Coturnix japonica: one gene and its partners. The protein of the gene in region 5 interacts with the protein of the main gene of each other region in a pairwise test. Links are inferred from orthologs where the notes say so. Each region holds a gene or a part of one and is shown on either strand. Other genes may lie near its edges. The genes, in order: SYBU, NUP54, EXOC2, TRIO, EXOC1 and GOLGA4.

Region 1 (2,362 bases), on a different chromosome or scaffold from region 5:
GATTTCAGTGGCTGGAGGTTTGCATGGAGCCAACTCCGCTGCATCCACCTGCTGGCTGATGTTGCCTTCTCTTAGGAGCAGACCTCAAGTTTAGGGCATGGAGAGTTTATGACTTGAGGGCCACAGTGCATCTCAGTGTATACAGTGGGACTTTGTGGCTCTCAGCCATGTTACACAAAGCCTTCTAGGTTTCTATGAAATGCCAGGAAGCCTGATACGCTTCTGGAAGCGCAGAGATGAGAAGCTACAAGTTGGGATTGCATTGAGTTAATAATTAGATGGCTTGCTTCTATTAGCTGAGGAGGCGGCAGCTGCATCACTGACCCAGCACAGCCCTCTGTGTGGTGCTCCCTCTTGGGGCTGTTCTCTCTTAAACTCTCTTCAGGATGCGGACAGTTCCTCATGCCTCTATATGGTGCCTCCTCCTGCTCTGCACGTGTGACATCCAGCTGAAATCGAGTATCTTTTAATAGCTTTGCTACAATAAAACACTCGAAAGATTTTGAACATTTCTAACATGCTTTACTGAACTTGTGGTTATAAAGGTAATTTACAGTAGAGCAGTTAAATAAACAATAAGTTAAAACACGATACATTTACAGATGATGTTTCACAGGGCTCAAATGACTATCAGGTTCCAATACATTAAGACTCTAAAACAACATTACTATTCAAAGTGTATCCACGCCTATACTTATCGTCCTAACAGTTTCAAGACTCCCAAGAACTGGACATTTGGTTGCAGTCCGTATGCGCACAAGACTGGTGGAATGCTCAAGCAGTTGCAGGATTTAGAAGAGCACTACACAAGACAGGCATGAAGGATGTGCGGGAAGCTGTCAGGGAAATACATTTGTTTTCTTTAAATTGGATTGAAGCTTCAGACAACAAATGGCGAGCGCTAGCATGCTTTTTAGAGTACATGTGTGGAACACTTAGTGGAAACGAGTCTCCGTGTTACTTAACACTGTAGTTTCACAAATGCTTTGTTACCGTTGCCTACAGAAATACCCCACCTTTCCCTGGCCTTTTGTTCCTATGTGCACCTCACGCTGCCCGTGAGGCACAGCACAGTGTCTGTGCATTTGCACAGTGAACTGGCTGGGTAAAAGGGAGATGAAGGCTAACTCAGCCTTGAGGCTGTCCCTGATCCCCATTACTGTGTGGATGTGCTGGCCTGAGAAATACACCAGCAGAAGGAGGGTGACTGGGAGCAGGAAGACTACTTCTGTAGGTAGCAGTACTGGGTTATGTCAGTTAAAAACATTCTGCGGAACTACAGGGTTCAACCTTCTTCATTTGGAAACAAGGAACATGTTTTTGAACCGATTTATAGTGCAAATCAAGTATTCAAGAGCAAAACAATGGACTCTGCCATAATATACAATATCTCTTTGTATCTCTCATCCCCCTCTCTCTACCTCAGCCCATTGGTGCCCAGTGACAGTGGAATTTAGACTCTAATATTGAAGGCTGTACGACGCAATGAGTGCAGGGCCACCAGGCAGCACCCACGAAGCAACGCTCCAATATTGTAAATGGGATCTACTCCTCCTCTCTGAGTACTGAATGCCCACAGGACAGTGGGTACAACAGGGGCTGCTACAGCCAGGACATCTACAAGGAGACTTCCACTCCAGTGCCTCTGCATTATTCCTGTCTCAGAGGAAGTATTCACATACCCGAACACTTCATCACGCGTTTCCGTAAAATCAAGTTCTTTCATGACGTGATTTTCATCAACTCCGAAATCCAACTTTCTGCATGGAGACTCCATAGGAGACAAAAGGATAGCAGAGTTTGGATCACTTGGAGTTAAGTCCACTACTATAGCAGAATCACTGAAGCTTCCAGAAGAAAAATCACTCAATTCCTTCAGTGAGGAAGGCGGGCTCAGAGGAGAGACATCTTGAGATCCGAAGATGTTCTGAATGAGCCGCTCCACACTGAGGCTATATGGCACCACATCAGTCTGGACAGACTGTTCCACCATCACGATGCCGCTCCTCTCCTCCTTCCTAGGAGACCTTAGTTTTTCATCAGGAACACTTTCAAGCACCTCTTGATCCATGACAGAAATGAAGAAAGCTGGATCAGCCGACTCAACACATGCTGTGCTGAAAGTCTCTTGAAACGAATCATTCCCATTAGCTATGTCCTCATTTAGAAGCACCCCACTATCAACCTCCAAAGCTTGCTCCTCCGTGATGAGGGTGTCTGGCAACCTGGCATACAGTGCCAATGGCTTCCCTGGTGTGTCAGACACATCCTCATCCCGCAGAGAGCCATTCTGAGCCATCTCCATGCTGTGCAGCAAAGATTCCAGTTTCTTGTTCTGAATGTTTATGTCTATGAAATATTT
Region 2 (4,113 bases), about 14 Mb from region 5:
GGGGAAACCCAAGCACAGGCCCAAGCTCCACCACAGCTCCCAAAAATCTTTGCATTTGTCCTTCGGACCACACCATCTCTTTGCTAATGCACCATCTGACCCAATGTGCAGCATATGGACACCTGAATAGCCCCGTGTTTCAAATCCTCCATGTTTCTGACCGATTTTACACACATTTAAATGAAGATGGACAGTCTAGTATATACAATGTATCAAAACAAAGCAATGCTGCCAGTTCTCATTCACGTGTCAACAGCAAAAAAGAAGCCTGTTCAGACCTACTGCACTTACCGTCTTGTATATACATACAAAATAAAGAGCTCAAATCAAAGCTGATGTGCAGCCACATTTTATTTTAATTCAGCAAACGACACAACTAAATGTAAGAGCTGCTCCCTGAAACTTCCAGGTTTCAGTCCTATCAGCACATAAGCAACCCTAGCAGCAACAGCAGACGACACAATTTTTAGACAGATTTGTGTTCACAGCAATTTAACACCCTTTCTTAGAGAAGGCTCTAAAAGTGCAAACTACTGAACAAAATAATATATCCAAGTTCTCTTGGATTAGTTACAATTCAGCTCAAGAAATACAGTCCAGTAGCACTCATACCCAGTTAAAAACCAAACCAGATCCCTTGAGCTCACAAAACAGGTAGGAGTATTCTAACACAGGGAGTGATGATGCCGTGGAATGAATATAACTCCTATACGAGCAGCGGCAACAAGAACCAAGGGAGAATTCCATTCAGGAAAAAGTGTGAGAAATCCATATAGTTGAGCAATTTTGTTTTAACAAAATGGGACAGACTTAGCTGGAAATTTATCAGCTGGTTACTCAGAACTGATGAGCCTACATGGGGCTACAAAGGGTTTTCTCAACAAGCAGTCAGCACACACCATGCTGGACAAAACCCCCCCAGGGAATTACTTTGCTGGGACATGCTCCACGTCAAGAGGCAGAACAGTTTTAGGAATGGAGGTAAAAGTGAGAGCTGTTCATTTTATTGCTGATCGTATAAAATTTGTTTCTCCACGGAAACAACTGAAGTGCAGCACATTCATGGCAACCAACAGAAGGCCGATGAGGAGACATGGGGAGGATGAAAACCATGACTGCAGCAGTCCAAGAATGTCACGTGAGGAAATGAGGCATTAGGGACCAGCTCTGCAACAGTTCTGATGGCCCAGACCTAAAGGCAGAACCAATGTTTCAGTTCTGCTGTGTGATTGAGACTCGATTTTGGATGGGATAAGGCTAGCAGGTTACTGTGATTCATCTCCAGTTCAGTGTCTAATCAGCCATGTGGTCATTTTTCCTTATCAGCTACTTCTGGAGAATTTAGTAGGCAAAAATAAAAACCCTTATAATTGCACGGCTCTATAACTCATTCCACTACAGAGCTTTTGCCTCCAGTCTTCACTGTATATAAAGGAAGTTCAGCACAGATTCTGAGTCAGGAACGCAATTCTTGGACCTCTGCTATTCACATTTATTACAGAACAAGTATATGTGTAATATCTACCTGCACTTGCCAGACTGTTACCAAAATTGAATGGCGGAGTTGAGGTAGTAGAAACACCGAAATTCCCAATATTAAAATTCACTGCGGGATTAGCAGCTAATCCGAAACCCCCAAAATTAAACCCACCGGCGGTGGAGTTTGTGGTTTCAAGCCCACCAAATCCTGACAAGCATGAAGCAGAAAGAGAGCAAGGCGGCGTTAGTTCTGCAGAAAGGTAGGTTCGGAAGTAACAGCTGACATACCGTTTTGGCACTAAAGACGAGGCAGGCATAGTTAATAACGAGAGTAAGGCATTAACTGGCACCAAGCACGAAACGCTTAGCAGCTAAAAGCAAGGTTTAACCCCGTTCTCCCCACGTTGCTATTGGGATGGCGTTCCTGAGCCGTATGGCACAGTAAGCCCAGTGTCGCCCTGCAGCCCGCCGGCGGGGCTGGCTCCAGCCGCACTCACAGCCGGCCCTTCACGGCTCTCCCTCCATCCCCACGCGGAGGCCCCGCACTCACCGCTAGGGTTGGAGGCCCCGGCGCCCGCCGCCGCCCCGAAGTTGAAGGCCATGAGGGGCCGCAGCGGCGGGAGGCGTGCCCGCAGCCCGCACCGCCAGGAAACAACGGGTGGTGCTTCCGGCCCCGTCACTACGGCGCTTCCAGACGGGGCGGGCCGCCATGCTCCGCCTGCGCCATAACGCGCCGCCAGGCGGTCCAGCACAGATACTGCGGGACGGGGGGCGGGCGGAGGGTGACGGAGAGACCGGCCTGCTGTAATGACCGCCCTGCTGTAGGCCTTTCGCCATCGGAAGCGCTAACGTTCTCTTAGAACTTTCTCGCCTGTTTACCGAGAGAAGCTCAGACAGGGCTTGGTAATGTGGAGCCTAAGTAACGGTGAGCATCGTTAGCCAGCCCAGTTAGAATAAAACTTGAACGAGGCACCCACAAGGCAAAAAAAACCCAACGAAGCAAACCAATGGAGAAAAACAAACAGGATAAACCCCGCTATACCTCTGTGTGGAAGAAAATGATACATTTTAAAACGTGTGTCACTGTCTACATCTAATGGAAACGCGTCTCAATTAGAATGCTCCATCAGTGGGAAAAGTCCCACTGCTGGGACTGGTTTTCATAAAGCAGCTTCCACTTGGCGAGGAAAAAATGCTGAGAGCTTTTCCAGGCCTTGCACGTACCTCAGGCTGGAGGTGTGTTTTGATCCCAAACAACAAATGTCACCAACAAACCCGTGTGTACAAAACGCACACTGCTGGTAGCTGAGATACCACCAGTGAGCAAAAGCACACCTCTGCTGTGCCTTACAGCAACACCATGCAAGTTTGGTTTGCTTTCTCTTTTTCAGTTGAAGGGAAAAGAACCCCATGAACTTTAAGGATATCCCCTACAAGCAATGGGATCCCATGCAGGGTTAGAACAGCTACAAGGTCTGAATGGAAGAGCACTCCCAGGGGTTGGCTTCTTTCTACCTGCTAGCACCAGGTGTTTAAGGAATTCCACGCAGCGGTTTGGATCAGTTGTACAGATCCGTTCTGTACTTTAATACCAAACAGTCAGTGCAAACCGGCAGGAAGCAGCGCGCAGGACTTTACAGAAAAGACAACAGTGAGGCTACAGGAAACCGACAGGTGTGTGAGTGACACAGGAACCTGCTGCATCTCTACAAGGGTTCTTTGCAGCCCACGCTCCTAAGGCCATTTGTAAATGTTACCCGTCGTTTCTGTAACGAATCAGGCCGTTTTATTTTCACCGAGGAAGTGGTTATGATGGTCTCTGAGTGTCAGTGCAGGTACGAGAGAGTGCGGGGCTGAAAAAAGCAGGATCTCGAGCAGTTTTAAAATGTAGTTCAGTAGTTGTAACTTAGCTGCTAAGAAAAGTCTCCTCCCCTGACGACAGTGCAGATTCTCTTCCATCTTTGAACGTTACACTTGACACGACTGTTTCTCCACAGTGGACAACACTGGGTAGTGGTAGCTGGTATTAGGTAAGCTCTAATGATTTATTCTCCAAGCTCACGTATTTAAGAAGATCTACTACTATGTCCTGATGAGCGGGGACCTTTCTTCTTCAGTGCTCTGAAAGAAAAAAGTTGCAACACAGGAAGATTGAATGTGGCACATTAGAGAGCTTCCGTGCAGGGAAGCTAAATTTCCTAAACTCCAGAGAGGAAAGGAAAAAGCTCTTGGCTCCTACTTCTAAGTGCAGATTTACTTAAGGGAACCCTCACTGTGCAAGGGAGGTGCTGGAGGGTGGATGGCAGCTTTGGCAGGTAGCAGCACTGGGATGATGCAGAGATGTTCCAGATTTCCCTGTGCATGTGCAGAGGCAGAAGTGAGGCAGGGGGGAGTGGAGGAAAAGGGCCAGGACGCACCCCATACAGGGGGCTGCCTGCTCCAGGTGACACGGGCATTCAGCATACTGATATATACATACTTGACAGCTGAGATTGCTCAGGCTCCCTGTAGTACTTTCCATGTGACCACAGTCACCCTGCATCACAAAGATAGCTCTGATTGGCAGAATCACTTTTATGTTTGCAGGAAAAGCAACAAAAATAATACAGAGAAAATATGAAAAGCAGGTGTCCC
Region 3 (3,378 bases), on a different chromosome or scaffold from region 5:
GGAGTTCTTGATTCTCATCTGTCCTTGTGACTAAGGAGAAAATATAAATCAAAAAACAAACAAGCCTACAGGTTTTGTGGAAAGTCCGAGTTGAAAGAACTGTCTCAAAACTGATTCCTGTGTTTAATTAGGCTAAGTAAGGCAGCAAGAAGGTATCTTTAGACTTCTTATGTCATGTGAAGGGTAGTTTTGAATACAAAAGATATCTGGGAGAAGACCGTTTGTGGATCATGGATCGTACAAAGAAGCTCAACTTTTTTTTCTAATATACTTCAGACAAATCCATTCTAGTTTTACCATATTATTCTGTATTAAGCTATTCTTGTAAAATAAACTAACAAATACTGTACTTAGTGCAGTGCAGCAGCTTGGTTCTCAAAGTTTGCTGTGGTGGGGAAGTAAGAACCCCAAATGCCTCCTCCTGATGTTAAGACAGAACAAAAGACTCTTCTTGTTTCTAAAATGAAGCAAGCCAGTTTTGAGAGTTGCCTAAATATCAGCCACTGAAAACTTGCACTTTGTTACTTGGTATTTTCTTTATTGCTGTTAAATTCAGTAAGACAAGACAATGGACCTCACAGAAACTAAAATCAGCACGGAAAGCTAAAATGAACTGAAATTATAAAATAAATATAAAAGTACAGAGAATTGATAAGACTAGAATGAGAAAGTGACATATGCTACAAAGCCATTGGCTCCTCTGTATAAATAATAGGCCATATAATGAATGAGATATGATGAATTACAAGAATTATCTAAATAGGTAATTTTTAACCTTGTCTGAAGATCCTTCTACACTGTAAATCTAAAGGGTCAAATACAGTATAAGTTAGCCCTCTTCTAGTAAAGCTCTGATATGAAAGTGGCTCCAGAAAGCAGAAGAAAGACAAGAAGGTGCAGTATACTCACTTTTTGTCAGCTCCACTTGAGAGCTGAGGCAAGGCTTCCAAAGCTTGCTTAAAGCTTGAGCTGCAAGGAAAACAAAAATATTCATATTCCCCTGGTACAAGTCTCAACTTTCAGTTAAATTAACAAAATGTTAACTTAGCACTTGATGTTCATGTGCAAATTAAACAAAGTGGCCATGGGCTCAAGCAGGTCTCTCAACTCATCCTAATATGAAGTACAACAGATGCAAACAGGAAATGTTCAATCTGCCACTGATTTAAAACAGCGCCTGACAATGCAGACCATTGAAGAATTATAGATAGTTGCTAGCCTGCCTTGTACCTAGAACACAGTGAAGGTTTCTTGGTCCAAACATCCTCTCAAATTAGGGACAACTCTGAGGAAACAGGAGGTTTCTTGAGGCAAAGTCAAATTCTGAGCATCTCCAAGGAAGGCAGTTCCACACCTCTCTGAGCAGCAGATGTGGAATAGAAGTGCAGGGAATGATGCAATTCCTGCACAGATTGATTTAATCTTCCTCTACAAAATTAAAATGGTGACTTTAGGACAACTACTACCAGTGAAGAGCCCAGAAATAAAGAGACATCTATGAAGCTCCATCTTCCACAGTTCACAACAGCAACTTCATTTTATTCAATATGAGCTGGTGCCAAATAGCTTACATTTAGGTCTACGTCACTGTCAAACACTCAGAACAGGGAAGCAAGTTTTTTTGAAATTGAAATCAATGACACCATAGAATAATACCATGTGTGATATAAAGACATATCAGGGCCTCAAGTCCTGTAATGTCTCCAACAAAATACTAATCAGATAAGAAGACTAAATCACAATCTGTGGGAGCATGTAATGTTAATCCTAACAAAAGCTTAGACAAATGAAAAAACAATGAATGAAAACACCCATATCCAGACCCAAAAATACTCACTCAGAAACTTCAATTAACCAGCTTTACTCAAAACTGCTGACAGCTTTCATGACTTGTATTTTTACATGCCTTGACTACATCAACCACTGTATGCTGCTAACACTTTCCTTCCCCATTATAATGCTGTATGCGTGAGCATGTCCTCCAGAACTTATCTGCAGTCTTGCACCTCACTGACAAATTGCTAAAAGCCTTTTGAAGGTTTTCATTCAAAAAGGAGGAGAATATACAAGCTTGTGGAAAGCCCTACTCTCCATGTCCTTATGAGGGGATCCTATTAGTCTCTGGTTCTACACCCTCCCTGAAGTGGCTGGCAGACTCTTGGTAGTGTGCTTTAAGATAAATGGGATGAAACTCAGTGTCAATTGCTTTTGCTATAACAACAGTTTCTTTAGCAAGTCAACTAAGAACTTTGTTTTGTTTTTTTTCCAACTCTCATTTGATAAGGATGAGGAATACCTGGTTTGTGTTCACAAATTCAAATCAACTGATAAACCTTTAGAAGAATTAATTTTCTACATACATATGTAGTATATCATGTAGTATATCACATACCTGAACCAATCTTTTGAAAATCCTTAATTTACATCATGTATTTTTGCATGTTTACAAAGGATTCCATTACAGTGAAAACAGCAGAAAATGTAGCAGAACTTACTTGCTTTCAGGAGTTAGATATATGGCCACCGTATCCCTCAAAGCACAGATTTCAAGTCTTGCCTAAAGACAGAAATACAAGTACTGAAACAATGACATAACGTCTTCTGATCAAGAGAACACCACTGTCCCAAACCTTCATCTTTCTTAGAAGCAAAAACTAAAACATGCTACAGCAGTGAGTAGCCTTGGCCTGTAACAGTTCATTTCCTGTATTTCTGGTTGCCACGCTGCTTCGTCAGTTAGGAGACTGCAATAAATTTCATACTTTTGATTCAAGTCAAACAGCCTAAAAACATTGGTTTGTCTCCCAGTAACAGTAACAAAGCTTTGATTTTGCTCTGTCTTTTCAGTTCTGTGATAGAAAGGGAGAGGGATGCTACCTTAAAAACAGCAAAATAAAACAAAAAATAATACAGCGAGCTTGACTTTTCACTGTATGGCTTGCCCAGGGAGGAAGGAAACAGGAGTACAAAAGTCTGTCAATATATGTTTTATTCTTGGCTTTGCTGCTGAATTTTTTTTCCACTAGATGAGGAAGTAGAATGGTTCTGGTCTGCTTCTTGTCTGTCACCTGGTGGGCACATAAGCTTGAGGATGTCACTCCTGCACGGTTCAGCTTGTCTAGGTACATCACAGGGGGTTGGAACTAGATGATCTTTAAGGTCCACTCCAACCTAAGCTTTCTGTGATCCTATGATGATTTTCACCTACACCATTCTCCACCATACATAATGGTAGACAATGAAGTCAAAGATTAACCAAAGTTCCTATATCTTCCTTCACTCTTTGAAAAATAATTGTTCTCATGACAGAAGTTTTATGTAAAACAAAAATATTCAGAAAGTGATCAAGCATTTCATTTAAATTATAAACTGAATTTC
Region 4 (3,500 bases), on a different chromosome or scaffold from region 5:
ACAGAGGTTAGGCAATCAAACACTAAAAAACTGCTTCCATATTCCTGAAAAAAATAACAGCAATTACAACACATCTGTTTTTCCTTCTTACGGGTGACCTTTACGTATCCAAGAAACCCTATGAAGTAACCCTAACCATATGTGTGTGTAAATATACACATACAAATGAATACACCAAAATAAACCTTCGTGACCCATCTTCTCTAGCCTGCTGAATGCAATGTGTAATCCTGCTAAAATATGGGCTGCAAATGGAGTTATAAATGAATAATTGTGACCCAGCTAAAAGAAATGCAGCAGTGAAGCAGAAGGCATGCATTCGGACTTTGTTTTGCAGTGACAAAAAACCAAAGGCACCTTTGCCAACAGTATCAAAATTCAAATGTTTTGAAAAATTTAGTGCCTTCCTTTCTCTCTTTTTTTTTTTAAATGCAATGACATCAATGCTATACAAGTCACAATAATTGTGAAACACGTTGATAACTGCAGCCAATATATTACCATCATACTTTGCTAGACTGAAGATAAACAACAAGACAGAGCTATATCAAATGAAAAGATGGAATATCAGGATCAAAATATGATACATGCAAAGCATTATTTTTTCTTCTGAAGCTATTATAAAGGTAAGTGTCAGGACTAAGAAGAAAATTCTCTGTGTTAAAACAGTTCTATAAAGAAATGCATGCACTTAAAAAAAAAAAAAAAGAATGCCAAGTTAGGTGATTTGCAAAATTGCTACTACATACGATTTGTGAGAGAGTGGAAAAACAAACATTGAACACAATACTTAGTGAGAAAAGAATCAAATGTGACTTTTAACAAAGGCACCATAGCCTGCCCTATGATATCCATGGCAAGTGCCTTGACAGTTTTGCTTATGTTGCACATGCCCTGTGATCGCTGTGTTACATTTCCTGGAAGACATCATTACAAAGTCTGCGGATTCATTTGACACCCTCCCCCCCAGATTTCTGCACGAACATGCCAAGTACATACTAAAAGGTTGAATCTCCAGGTGCACTAAAACAGTTCTTCTTACAATGCAGAAGGGAAAAGTGGAGCCGCTATTTGTTTTGATTGTAGCAGAAGAACAGTTGATTACTTTAGCTAGGCTTTGATTGCCTTTTTTGAGTGGACCGTAGGAAGCTTCTTTGACCAGGCATAAGATTTAAAAAGAGAATACTGTATATCAACTAATGCTGAAAGGAGGAGTGTGTGGGGAAATAAATACAAAATAATATCAAGCAGCCCAGGGACTGTTTGGTAGATGTCTCAACGAAGTTAAAACTCAATGGACAGCTGGCGGTGGATTTGTGCGTGACAGGGAATAAAGCCCCAAGACAATCTGCCAAAATCTCAAAAGTCAGATGTAAATGCTGGCTGCAATGCATACCCCAAGGTGCTCTGGTTGCTGCGCTTCAGCAAGTTAATTATGTGCCTTCAAATTAGAGAAGAAACAGCAAGGACAGCAAGTTAGTAAGGATCAGCCTAGTGATCTATGCTTTCAGCAGAGGCAGAAACTGTATCTAATGTTAGCAGTTGTTTGTGTGTCTGTATACATATCACCATCTACATTTTTTATGTATACACACACAAAGAGGCAGATAATTTTATTTTTTAATGTGCAGAAGACACCGGAGCAGTTGATTATTTCAGAGCAGTAGAGCGCCGGAGAGCCAGAAGTTAGTACGGAGAGTGATGGCAACGCACAGGAAAGGAGCATGGGAAGGTTTTAGAAGAGCTTGCAGGACAGAGGTGCTCCGCTCTTACCCCATTACTCTGGGTGGAGTGAACTGACTGCTCGCTGGTCGAGGAGCATGTGCTCATGCGGTCTGTGTCCTTGCTGTGTGAAGAGTGGCGGTGGACCTGCCGCTGGAGGGAGTCATTGTCCCCAGGGAAAGTGAAGGAGCCAGGGCGGCTGGCAGGGGATGCTGGGATGGAGCTCCAAAAGGAGCCCTTCTGCAGGGGGCTGCTGGGTGGAAAGGTTTCTTTGCCAAAAGGAGAAGGGAAAGTCGTGGAGAGAGGAGAGTTCATTGGTGAGATTGCTCCTGGCCTTGGCTTCCCCAGCGTCAGTGATCCTACGCTGCTTCTTGAGCGACTTTCCTCTGAGTTTCCACGTGAGTCTTTCTGGGCTCCGTCAGCTGAGCCAGAAATGTTTCCCGCTGTCTTCCTGGGACTCTCAATAACTTTCATCTTGGGAATCTGCTCAGCTTCTCTCTGAGGACCGTCCGGTTCTGCACTGGGAGGGTGCCTGTCTGGCTGGCTCAGGCCAGTTTCTAAGGAGGTGTTGTAGTGTGGCAGGGAGAGATTGTGAATGGACATACCTGACATCTTGTCTGCCTCTGCTTGGGCCGAGGTTGCAGAGGAGACCAGGACTGGGGAATGGTGTCTGACAGGCTGGGGGATCCGGGATGGCCGGCTACGGCTGGAGGTGGGGATTCCACTACAGCTGCTGGGGCCGCTGCTGTTACCACTGCTGCTGCCGCTGCCACCTCCACCACTGCTGTGGTTCCTCTGGTACTCGATTGGAGACGTCAAGGCTGCAGTGGGGAAGGGAGTGGAGGTGATCAGGGAACAGAGAGCAGGAAAGGGAACAGAAATAGTTCAAGCAGACTTTTTTTGTGACAAAAGGAGAATGTGTCTCAAATGCGAAATTCCCTTATCAATGCCAGTCACGCCATAGACTTCAAGTCACTTTTGTATATTATACCTTTAATGACTTGCCATATATCACCTGCTCTCTGTTAAAGACAGAAAAGTTAAATCCAGGCAGAAATGTCTTCCTCCAGATCGCACTGTTGGTCAGTAGCCAAGATGGGCAAAAAGAGATATGACTCTCAGTGTATTGTTCTACCCATTACAACTCTAGATCAGGGCAACAAGCTACGGATACAAAAACATAGCAAGAACCTCCCAGTAGGAAGTATCCAAAGGATATCATCATGGTCTCCTGCAGAACCTGACTGTTGATGCCACAAGTAAGGTGGAACAACAATGACCAACAAAATAACAAATGGAAAACAGATTCTGAACAGATACTTAAAACTGAACTGGTATTTAGCCTTTAAAGGCTTGCATTTGGTTCAAAGGTTACACAGACTCTTCCCATCAACTGATGGTGTCTCTCGTAATTCAATTCTACAAAACATTTGGAACATTTCACCAAGTAAACAACACATAAATTCAGACTATCACTCTTACAAGAAATGCTAGCATCTGTTCTAAAGCAAAAATTCAGCAAAACCCGCAACTGTTCTGTATTAGTTTAGGAAAAAGGAAACTTGCAGAGCATTTCAAAGGAAAGAAAACAACAGATGAGAGAGAATTCACTCAACTATGAACTTTTGATGAGAGCTGATGATTTACCATTTAAAAAGTTGCGCTGGTTTTCCAAAATTTGGTTAATTTCATGGATCCACAGCTGGCGGACTCCTGGACTGGCAGAATGCAAAACAAAGGTCTCCGTGACATCACCCGTTCTTGATGTTAGTGCAAAT
Region 5 (3,056 bases):
GCTCTATTCCCACCTCCCCCGTCCCTCTCCCTCCGACTGAGCCTTACCGACACGCTGCTGAAGGTAAATCCTTCCAGGGCAAAGCACGGAGGAGCTGCCGAGCCGTGTCACCGATGTATCGGCAGAGCCCGGAGGAAACACGGTCCCAGCGGCCGCCGGGCTGCTCGGCCCTGCCCGCGCTCACAGCGCATGGGGCGGGAGCGGCCTGTACCGCAGCGGGAGCCCCGCAGCCCCGGGAGGCCCCGGCCCCAACGCCGGTTTGAAAATGGCGCGCGGCGCAGCAGCCACTTCCGCCTTGTTACCACAGCAACGCGGCACGGCCCTGCCACACAGCCCCGCCCCTGTCACGAGACCGTGACATCATGTTACATCACAGCCGCTAAAAGGAAGGGAAAAATTATTGAGAAATAGAGCGGCGCTACGGCAGTACACACAGACAGCGCCATGGAGCTGCTCTGCATTGCCACCATAGGGACATTAACACACCACGGAGACATAAAGAATGCGATGGATAGATTTAATCAAGGACAGCCGCCCGCACATCACATCATTCCCACTGCCCAACATCCCACACCCACACTGTCTGCAGTGAGGATGGGAAGACATATAGCAGCCGTTAATCCTCGTATAATCTCCAAGACACAAAGCATTAGTGGAGATGGCAGTGCCCTTTTGTGTACTACACAGGTAGTGCTTGCTGCTTTTAACAAGGACAACATTATTTTAATTATAAATAACAGCATTTGAGTGTTAGGGGAGGGGAAAAATGTATACAAAGTGTTTCATAGATTAATGCTTTCAAACAGTGTTTCAATGCAGTAGAAGAGCAATGAATGACCAAAGGTTTCATTCTGCCCTGAAAGACAGTTGAAGCACATACATACACAACAGTTAGATGTATATACACACCGAAATGCACCTTTTAAAAACAAACAGCGACTTTAGTGTTTGATTCCCTTATAATACAGACACAGACTTTGCTAGCTTCTCTGTCCCTTTATAGAACCTTAATGAGATTGTGCAATACTGGAGCAGTAGTCTAAAATATCCTGTATAGTGAATTCCATAGTAATTCCTGATCCAGGATAGCAGCGAGCTATCAGCCCTTCAAAGTGCTTGTACTGTCGTATGAACTCATCTTGCATTGAATGCCACACCACCTGCCAACAAAAGCAGATTTTAGCATATGACAACTGGTACAATATACTTACTGCATTAAAATCTCTCAAAGTTTTTTACCCATCAATTTTCTGAAAGATCATTAATATTTACATCACTCCTACCAAGTGCATTACAAAATAGAAAAATAAAATGAGGTCACTTCTCTTCACAGAAAACAACCCAAACCAAGCCTGCATCCATATTCACACTTGAAAGTTTACAGAATGTAACAGAAGATCTGAATGATACGCTACCAGAAAAAGTCAAGCTGAACTATGTTCTACTGCAGCGTACAAGCTAAATTTCATGCCAAGTTAATGGTTCATTTAAATCTAGTTCTTTCTATTTACATCTTACTTTGCAGAATAGAGATCGTTCACTAATGTGTACATTAGTGAATTAGCAATTATTGAATTAACTAAGGAATCACAGAAGGATTTTCTTTCAGAACCATACCACCTTACTTGAAACCAATCTCTTATGATAATCTGTGATTTTATTTATTAAAAACATACAAACCACCCGAAAACAGTTTAAAATTCAGTGTTTTTCAGTATTTTGCTGAAGCCAGGCACATCTCTTCCATCACATAAAAGAAAAAATAAAGGCCTTTCTGCAAGCATACAAGAGATTTTTAAGCCATGACTTAGTTTACCTGAAGTAAGTTTTCTTCTTCACAGAGATGTTTGTCTACCTTCTTGTAAAGATTATCCAATCCCTTCTTGACTTCTTTGCCAGGATACTCCTTTATAACTTTGCGAAGCTCTTGTTTATTAAAAGCCAGTTGATAGCTCACTTCTTCTTCTCGTATACCTTGGGCCACGCGAGCTTCAACGCCTTCAAAAAAATGCTAACAAAACAATAATACTATTAATGATTGTCATAAATACAAACTAATTAAATGCTTCTCAAACTCTACCTTCAACAAAAATGTGGGGAACACACAACAGTTGTTCTGTTTAACAGAAGTTGTGCTCAGCCATAAACATTAAAGAACAGCACACTAATGCAGTACTCGGTAAGTAATAAGGTAAAAAGAAATTAATCATCAATAGAAGCAGTCAAGCTTTCAGATACACTTGTATCTAATACTGAACCAGTCTCAGACTCCTAAGTTAATGTGACCATAGCTTGAGTTAACATCGGATCTTTCAGATAAACTGGCAAAGCATTTGAATTGGAAGTTTTCTACTTAAATCATAACAATACAAGAGCAGTATTATTATTATTATTTTATTATATTTAGTTCATTATTGCCCTATTTTCTCAAGATTCCTCACCATGTAGATCAACATAATAAAAACTGAAAGAAATATGCTTATGAATGTGCATGTAGAACTGTAACATCACTTGAAGCATTGCATTGGCTCTGGACAAGACAGAATTAATTTTCTTCATAGCAGCCTACATGGTGCTGTGCTTTGGACTTGTAGCTCAAACAGCACTGATAACACCACAGCATTTTGGCACAGCAAGACTTTCCACACATGTCCTGTCCTCCTCTTGCCTCCTCCATAGTAGTCTGGAGATGGGCAAGAAGCTGGGAGGGGACACAGCTGGACAGCTGAGAAGCTCCTAAGTGTACTCTTTAGCATACAATGTAATACTCAGCAATAAAAAGTGCAGCTAGAGGAAGAGACGCTGTTTGTCCTCAAGGGTGGCTGTTGTTCAGAAAGAGGTCAACCCACAGAAAGTTAAAAGTGGTAACAAGAAGTGCGAACTAACCATAAGAGAAAGTTGTATATGTACTTTAAAATTATGTAGGGTAGTATATAGCTAGAATGAAGTATACTTACATTTAATTTTTCAAGAGGCTGTCCAAGTGAGTAGACTACATAAGACTGAAGATGTTCGGTGTATTTCAGTTTGGCTTCTTTTTTCTCAGCTTCAAGACA
Region 6 (3,500 bases), on a different chromosome or scaffold from region 5:
AATTACATAGAGTGCAATCTCCAGGACAAATACATACTCACACAAATATAAACATCTTTTCATCAAAGCAACTGAAGGAATGCTTCCTACCTGTAAATAATATGTACTAGTCATCCATTACAGTACAGTCTCAAGGGCTGGCTGAAGTTGGAACATAGCCGACAAAGTTTGTTATTGTTGTTAGGGTTTATTATTATTATCATTTTCTTGTGTTTAAGTCCCTTGCAATTCAAAAGTGTAATATCCAATAATATATATTTTTATTTAATGATTTCTAACAGACGCTATTAAGGTAAGAGAGCCATCCAATGAGCCACAGGCCTAAGAACAGAAGCTAACTAGTGATTCTGGTGGTTGTTTTTGGATCCAGAATTTGTATTTTTAATAAAATGGGAGTTAAATAGTGAAATAAGAAAAGGGATAAAAAGAAAGAGGAATCTTCTAAGGACAAGAAGTCCTGTGTAGACCAAGATTTATTCCATAAGGAGCACAGTTAACACAGAACCCTGCATAAAACCTTTTTACTTAGCAACTGTCCAAGTTGAAAGCAGTACAACAAAGAATGGAAGAACCCCAGGGAAGAAAAAAAAACCCTATATTCATCCACATCCACACAGCATTTGTCATCCAAGAAAAATGTTTGTGTTACGACATACCTCCTTTGAAGCTGGTCTTAGCATCAGTATTGTTACAAGCTAGTAAAATTCCAACATAGGAATGATTTCACAAGCTTGTCAGCATACAACAAGGAGCCTACTGTGCAGCTTTTCTCTGCTTTTAATAGTAGGTTAATACTAACTAGTGAAGGTACACAGATTTGGGAGTCTTATAAAAGATCTTTAAGGAACAATTTGAAAAAAAAAAACAAACAACCCTTCATCTTCAGAGCTTGTAACAGGGTAATACAACTGTAACTTAATCATATTTGCAACAAGATAACATCACAAAAGTAGTTTGCTAATACAGTGCATATCAGCTTTCAAAGTCCAGTAAGCCTGACTGACATTAAGTCTTCTGCTGGTAAAATAACACCTACCTGGAGGGCTATTTGTTTCTGTAAGTGCCTTGGTGAGAGATGTGACACACACTCCCCCTCCCTGGTGTTCTCTCCTTTCACTCCCCCTGTGTTTTATCTCAGCGTTCCAGAGAAGCTGGTAAAGATACATGTCTCTTTCTAAGAAAGCCCTGAAAGTCCATTGAGTCTTTTTACACAGACAGAAAATGCATGATGAATTGCCATCATCATGGCACTTAAGATCAATACAGCAAGGAACGTAACTTCATTCTAACCCACATCACATCACTGTATACAACTTTCCATACCTTTGTCTCACGACCCATCATATATTCAAAAAGCACTTTCCTCAAGTATTCAAACTCAGTGGGCTCTCCGAAGAGAGAAACGTCAGTATGATGAAGATTTCCATCTGTGTAAACAAAAATAAGTATATTTATACTAAGAGTAACTCATAAGAATGTAAGTTATTCATAGTCAGAAAGTCACTGAAACAAAATGTAATCAAGTATGAAACATGGGCGTAACAACCATAATTATGCCAGATGCCTAAAACCTACTCAGAGCAATTTCCTGAAGCATAAAACATAATGGATCAGCACAATTAAAAATCCTCAACAACGTACTACTCATGAAGTTTCGTTTTTAGCTTTAGCTGTCTTACAGACTAGGTGTAAGGCTGGAGATACATACATGGAAACAAAAAAAAAGGAGTACAAAGTTAAGAAAAAAAAAGGCATTGGTGAATATGCTAGGAAGTTGTATACCAAACTATGACTACCTTCATCAAGTTCTGCAAAGACAGCAGTGAAGAATAACTTTTCTGAGGAATATTTATAGAGAATAAACTAATAGTTTAGCTTTATTCTCACCAAGATGGAAGATAGAAAGATTCACAATTTAACATAAACCCAGCATCACAGGCCAATGGCAAATTAAATTAGGTGTTGGACTAATTTGGATACAAGTCTTCAGGGAAAGTGGAATTTTGATAGAGAAGAAATGGTCCGCAGAGAGGTTAAAGATAATAATAAAGTGATTTGCTTAAAGTAACTCCTCAAGACAACTTTTTAAAGGAGTGCTCTTAATAAATATGGATACAGGAAGAAAAGTAACAGCACGGTAATCAAGGTGTCAGAGCAGATCTTGGAAAGGGCATTTAGTTATAAGAATAGCAAAAGTCCAAACATGCAACACAAGAAAGCTTTGTGAAATCTAATGATTGCATATTTAAGATTTTTTAAAGAGTCAAAAATTGTATTCAGTTAAGCTAGGGTATAATTCCCCTCCAGCAAATTTTCACTGAAACTGCCTCTATCAATTCCCCAGAGATAACAGATTGCTGATACAGAGCTGTTTCACTTGTAAGATAAATGTTTCAAAAAAACCCCAGATATATTAATGGATTCTCTAAACAAAAGCATATCTTTCAAATAAACAAACTTGTGTGATGAAAATTACATGCATACCTCTGTATGGTGTTCCAACTGATGTGACATACATTTTCTTTTCATAATTTTTTAGTCTGTCTTCCAGTACATGAATCTAGACAGAGATGAGTCATGATCAGAACTGTTGAAGTTAAAAGTAAGCATAAGAAGTTCCAGCTAAACATCCTGAAATTCTAGTAGAGCAATTTGCCCTCAAATAAGATATTAATAACTGTGCCTAACTAAAGAAAATTGTGTACACGTGCATATAGACACACCAAAATATCTATACACATACATATTCATATACCTATATTCATGTGATATATACATATATATACATACATATACATATATTAAAACACAGATATAACATTATTTACTTATTTTACCTAAAACCAGAAAATCTAGTTTAGAAAAAGTGGGAAAACATAATTTCAAAAAGGACATTTGTAAATTTTCATTCTGCAGATGTTTTTGATAACCTGCACCACTTATATTTGGTATTTTCATACCCTGGGGACCGAGAAGTATTTTGACAATGTGCATAGATGTATGAGCCAAAACTATTTTACATGTATTAGTATTATACTTGCTGTATAGAGCTGTGCTACATCATCAGTTGAAAGGAACCAATAGTTTCAACTGCAAGTACAAATAATCAGATGATGTTTTTTCCTTTGTTCAAACAGTGCCCTTACCTGCTCCCTGAACTCCTGCTCTTTCAACTTTGAATCGTTGACTAGCGTTGTCTTCTGTGCAAGCTGTGCCTGAAAGAACAGCCACATACAGAAAATTTCAAAAAACTCCTGAACATACCACTTTAATAAGCTTTTAAGCTTTACTTTTTTTTTTTAACTTTCAATTCACACGAACTTATAAGCAGTGCTGCTAGCTTCAAAGTGATGTGACATAGCATTACATAGAAAACGAACATTAAAAAAATAAATAAATCAAAACTTACCTGAAGTTCAGCTATTGCTACCTAAAAGAAAAAAAAAAAAAAAAAAAAGGATGAAAACGTAGGTATGAAAAAAGAAAATACTAAATATCTC

The links.
Region 1: the proteins of EXOC1 (region 5) and SYBU interact in a two-hybrid assay, tested with the Homo sapiens proteins (2 studies listed by BioGRID and IntAct). The link is inferred for Coturnix japonica from reciprocal best matches to the Homo sapiens genes EXOC1 and SYBU.
Region 2: the proteins of EXOC1 (region 5) and NUP54 interact in binary tests that used the Homo sapiens proteins (3 or more experiments, as listed by UniProt). The link is inferred for Coturnix japonica from reciprocal best matches to the Homo sapiens genes EXOC1 and NUP54.
Region 3: the proteins of EXOC1 (region 5) and EXOC2 interact in binary tests that used the Homo sapiens proteins (3 or more experiments, as listed by UniProt). The link is inferred for Coturnix japonica from reciprocal best matches to the Homo sapiens genes EXOC1 and EXOC2.
Region 4: the proteins of EXOC1 (region 5) and TRIO interact in a two-hybrid assay, tested with the Homo sapiens proteins (2 studies listed by BioGRID and IntAct). The link is inferred for Coturnix japonica from reciprocal best matches to the Homo sapiens genes EXOC1 and TRIO.
Region 6: the proteins of EXOC1 (region 5) and GOLGA4 interact in binary tests that used the Homo sapiens proteins (3 or more experiments, as listed by UniProt). The link is inferred for Coturnix japonica from reciprocal best matches to the Homo sapiens genes EXOC1 and GOLGA4.

What each region holds. Positions count from the first base shown.
Region 1 is NC_029517.1:119,514,168-119,516,529, forward strand, and holds the end of SYBU (syntabulin), read right to left. Parts: coding exon 1,454-2,362; 3' UTR 501-1,453; downstream 1-500. UniProt on the Homo sapiens protein: Part of a kinesin motor-adapter complex that is critical for the anterograde axonal transport of active zone components and contributes to activity-dependent presynaptic assembly during neuronal development.
Region 2 is NC_029519.1:44,543,178-44,547,290, reverse strand, and holds the start of NUP54 (nucleoporin p54), read right to left. Parts: upstream 2,801-4,113; 5' UTR 2,082-2,800; coding exon 2,030-2,081; intron 1,688-2,029; coding exon 1,526-1,687; intron 1-1,525. Other genes in the region: SCARB2 (lysosome membrane protein 2), read right to left, coding at 3,562-3,600. UniProt on the Homo sapiens protein: Component of the nuclear pore complex, a complex required for the trafficking across the nuclear membrane.
Region 3 is NC_029517.1:62,068,069-62,071,446, reverse strand, and holds part of EXOC2 (exocyst complex component 2), read right to left. Parts: intron 2,558-3,378; coding exon 2,496-2,557; intron 970-2,495; coding exon 910-969; intron 1-909. UniProt on the Homo sapiens protein: Component of the exocyst complex involved in the docking of exocytic vesicles with fusion sites on the plasma membrane.
Region 4 is NC_029517.1:54,045,804-54,049,303, reverse strand, and holds part of TRIO (triple functional domain protein), read right to left. Parts: coding exon 3,370-3,500; intron 2,544-3,369; coding exon 1,774-2,543; intron 1-1,773. UniProt on the Homo sapiens protein: Guanine nucleotide exchange factor (GEF) for RHOA and RAC1 GTPases. Involved in coordinating actin remodeling, which is necessary for cell migration and growth. Plays a key role in the regulation of neurite outgrowth and lamellipodia formation.
Region 5 is NC_029519.1:58,584,654-58,587,709, forward strand, and holds the end of EXOC1 (exocyst complex component 1), read right to left. Parts: coding exon 2,958-3,056; intron 2,012-2,957; coding exon 1,817-2,011; intron 1,161-1,816; coding exon 1,008-1,160; 3' UTR 501-1,007; downstream 1-500.
Region 6 is NC_029517.1:77,612,169-77,615,668, reverse strand, and holds part of GOLGA4 (golgin subfamily A member 4), read right to left. Parts: intron 3,431-3,500; coding exon 3,410-3,430; intron 3,216-3,409; coding exon 3,147-3,215; intron 2,561-3,146; coding exon 2,485-2,560; intron 1,428-2,484; coding exon 1,324-1,427; intron 1-1,323. UniProt on the Homo sapiens protein: Involved in vesicular trafficking at the Golgi apparatus level. May play a role in delivery of transport vesicles containing GPI-linked proteins from the trans-Golgi network through its interaction with MACF1. Involved in endosome-to-Golgi trafficking.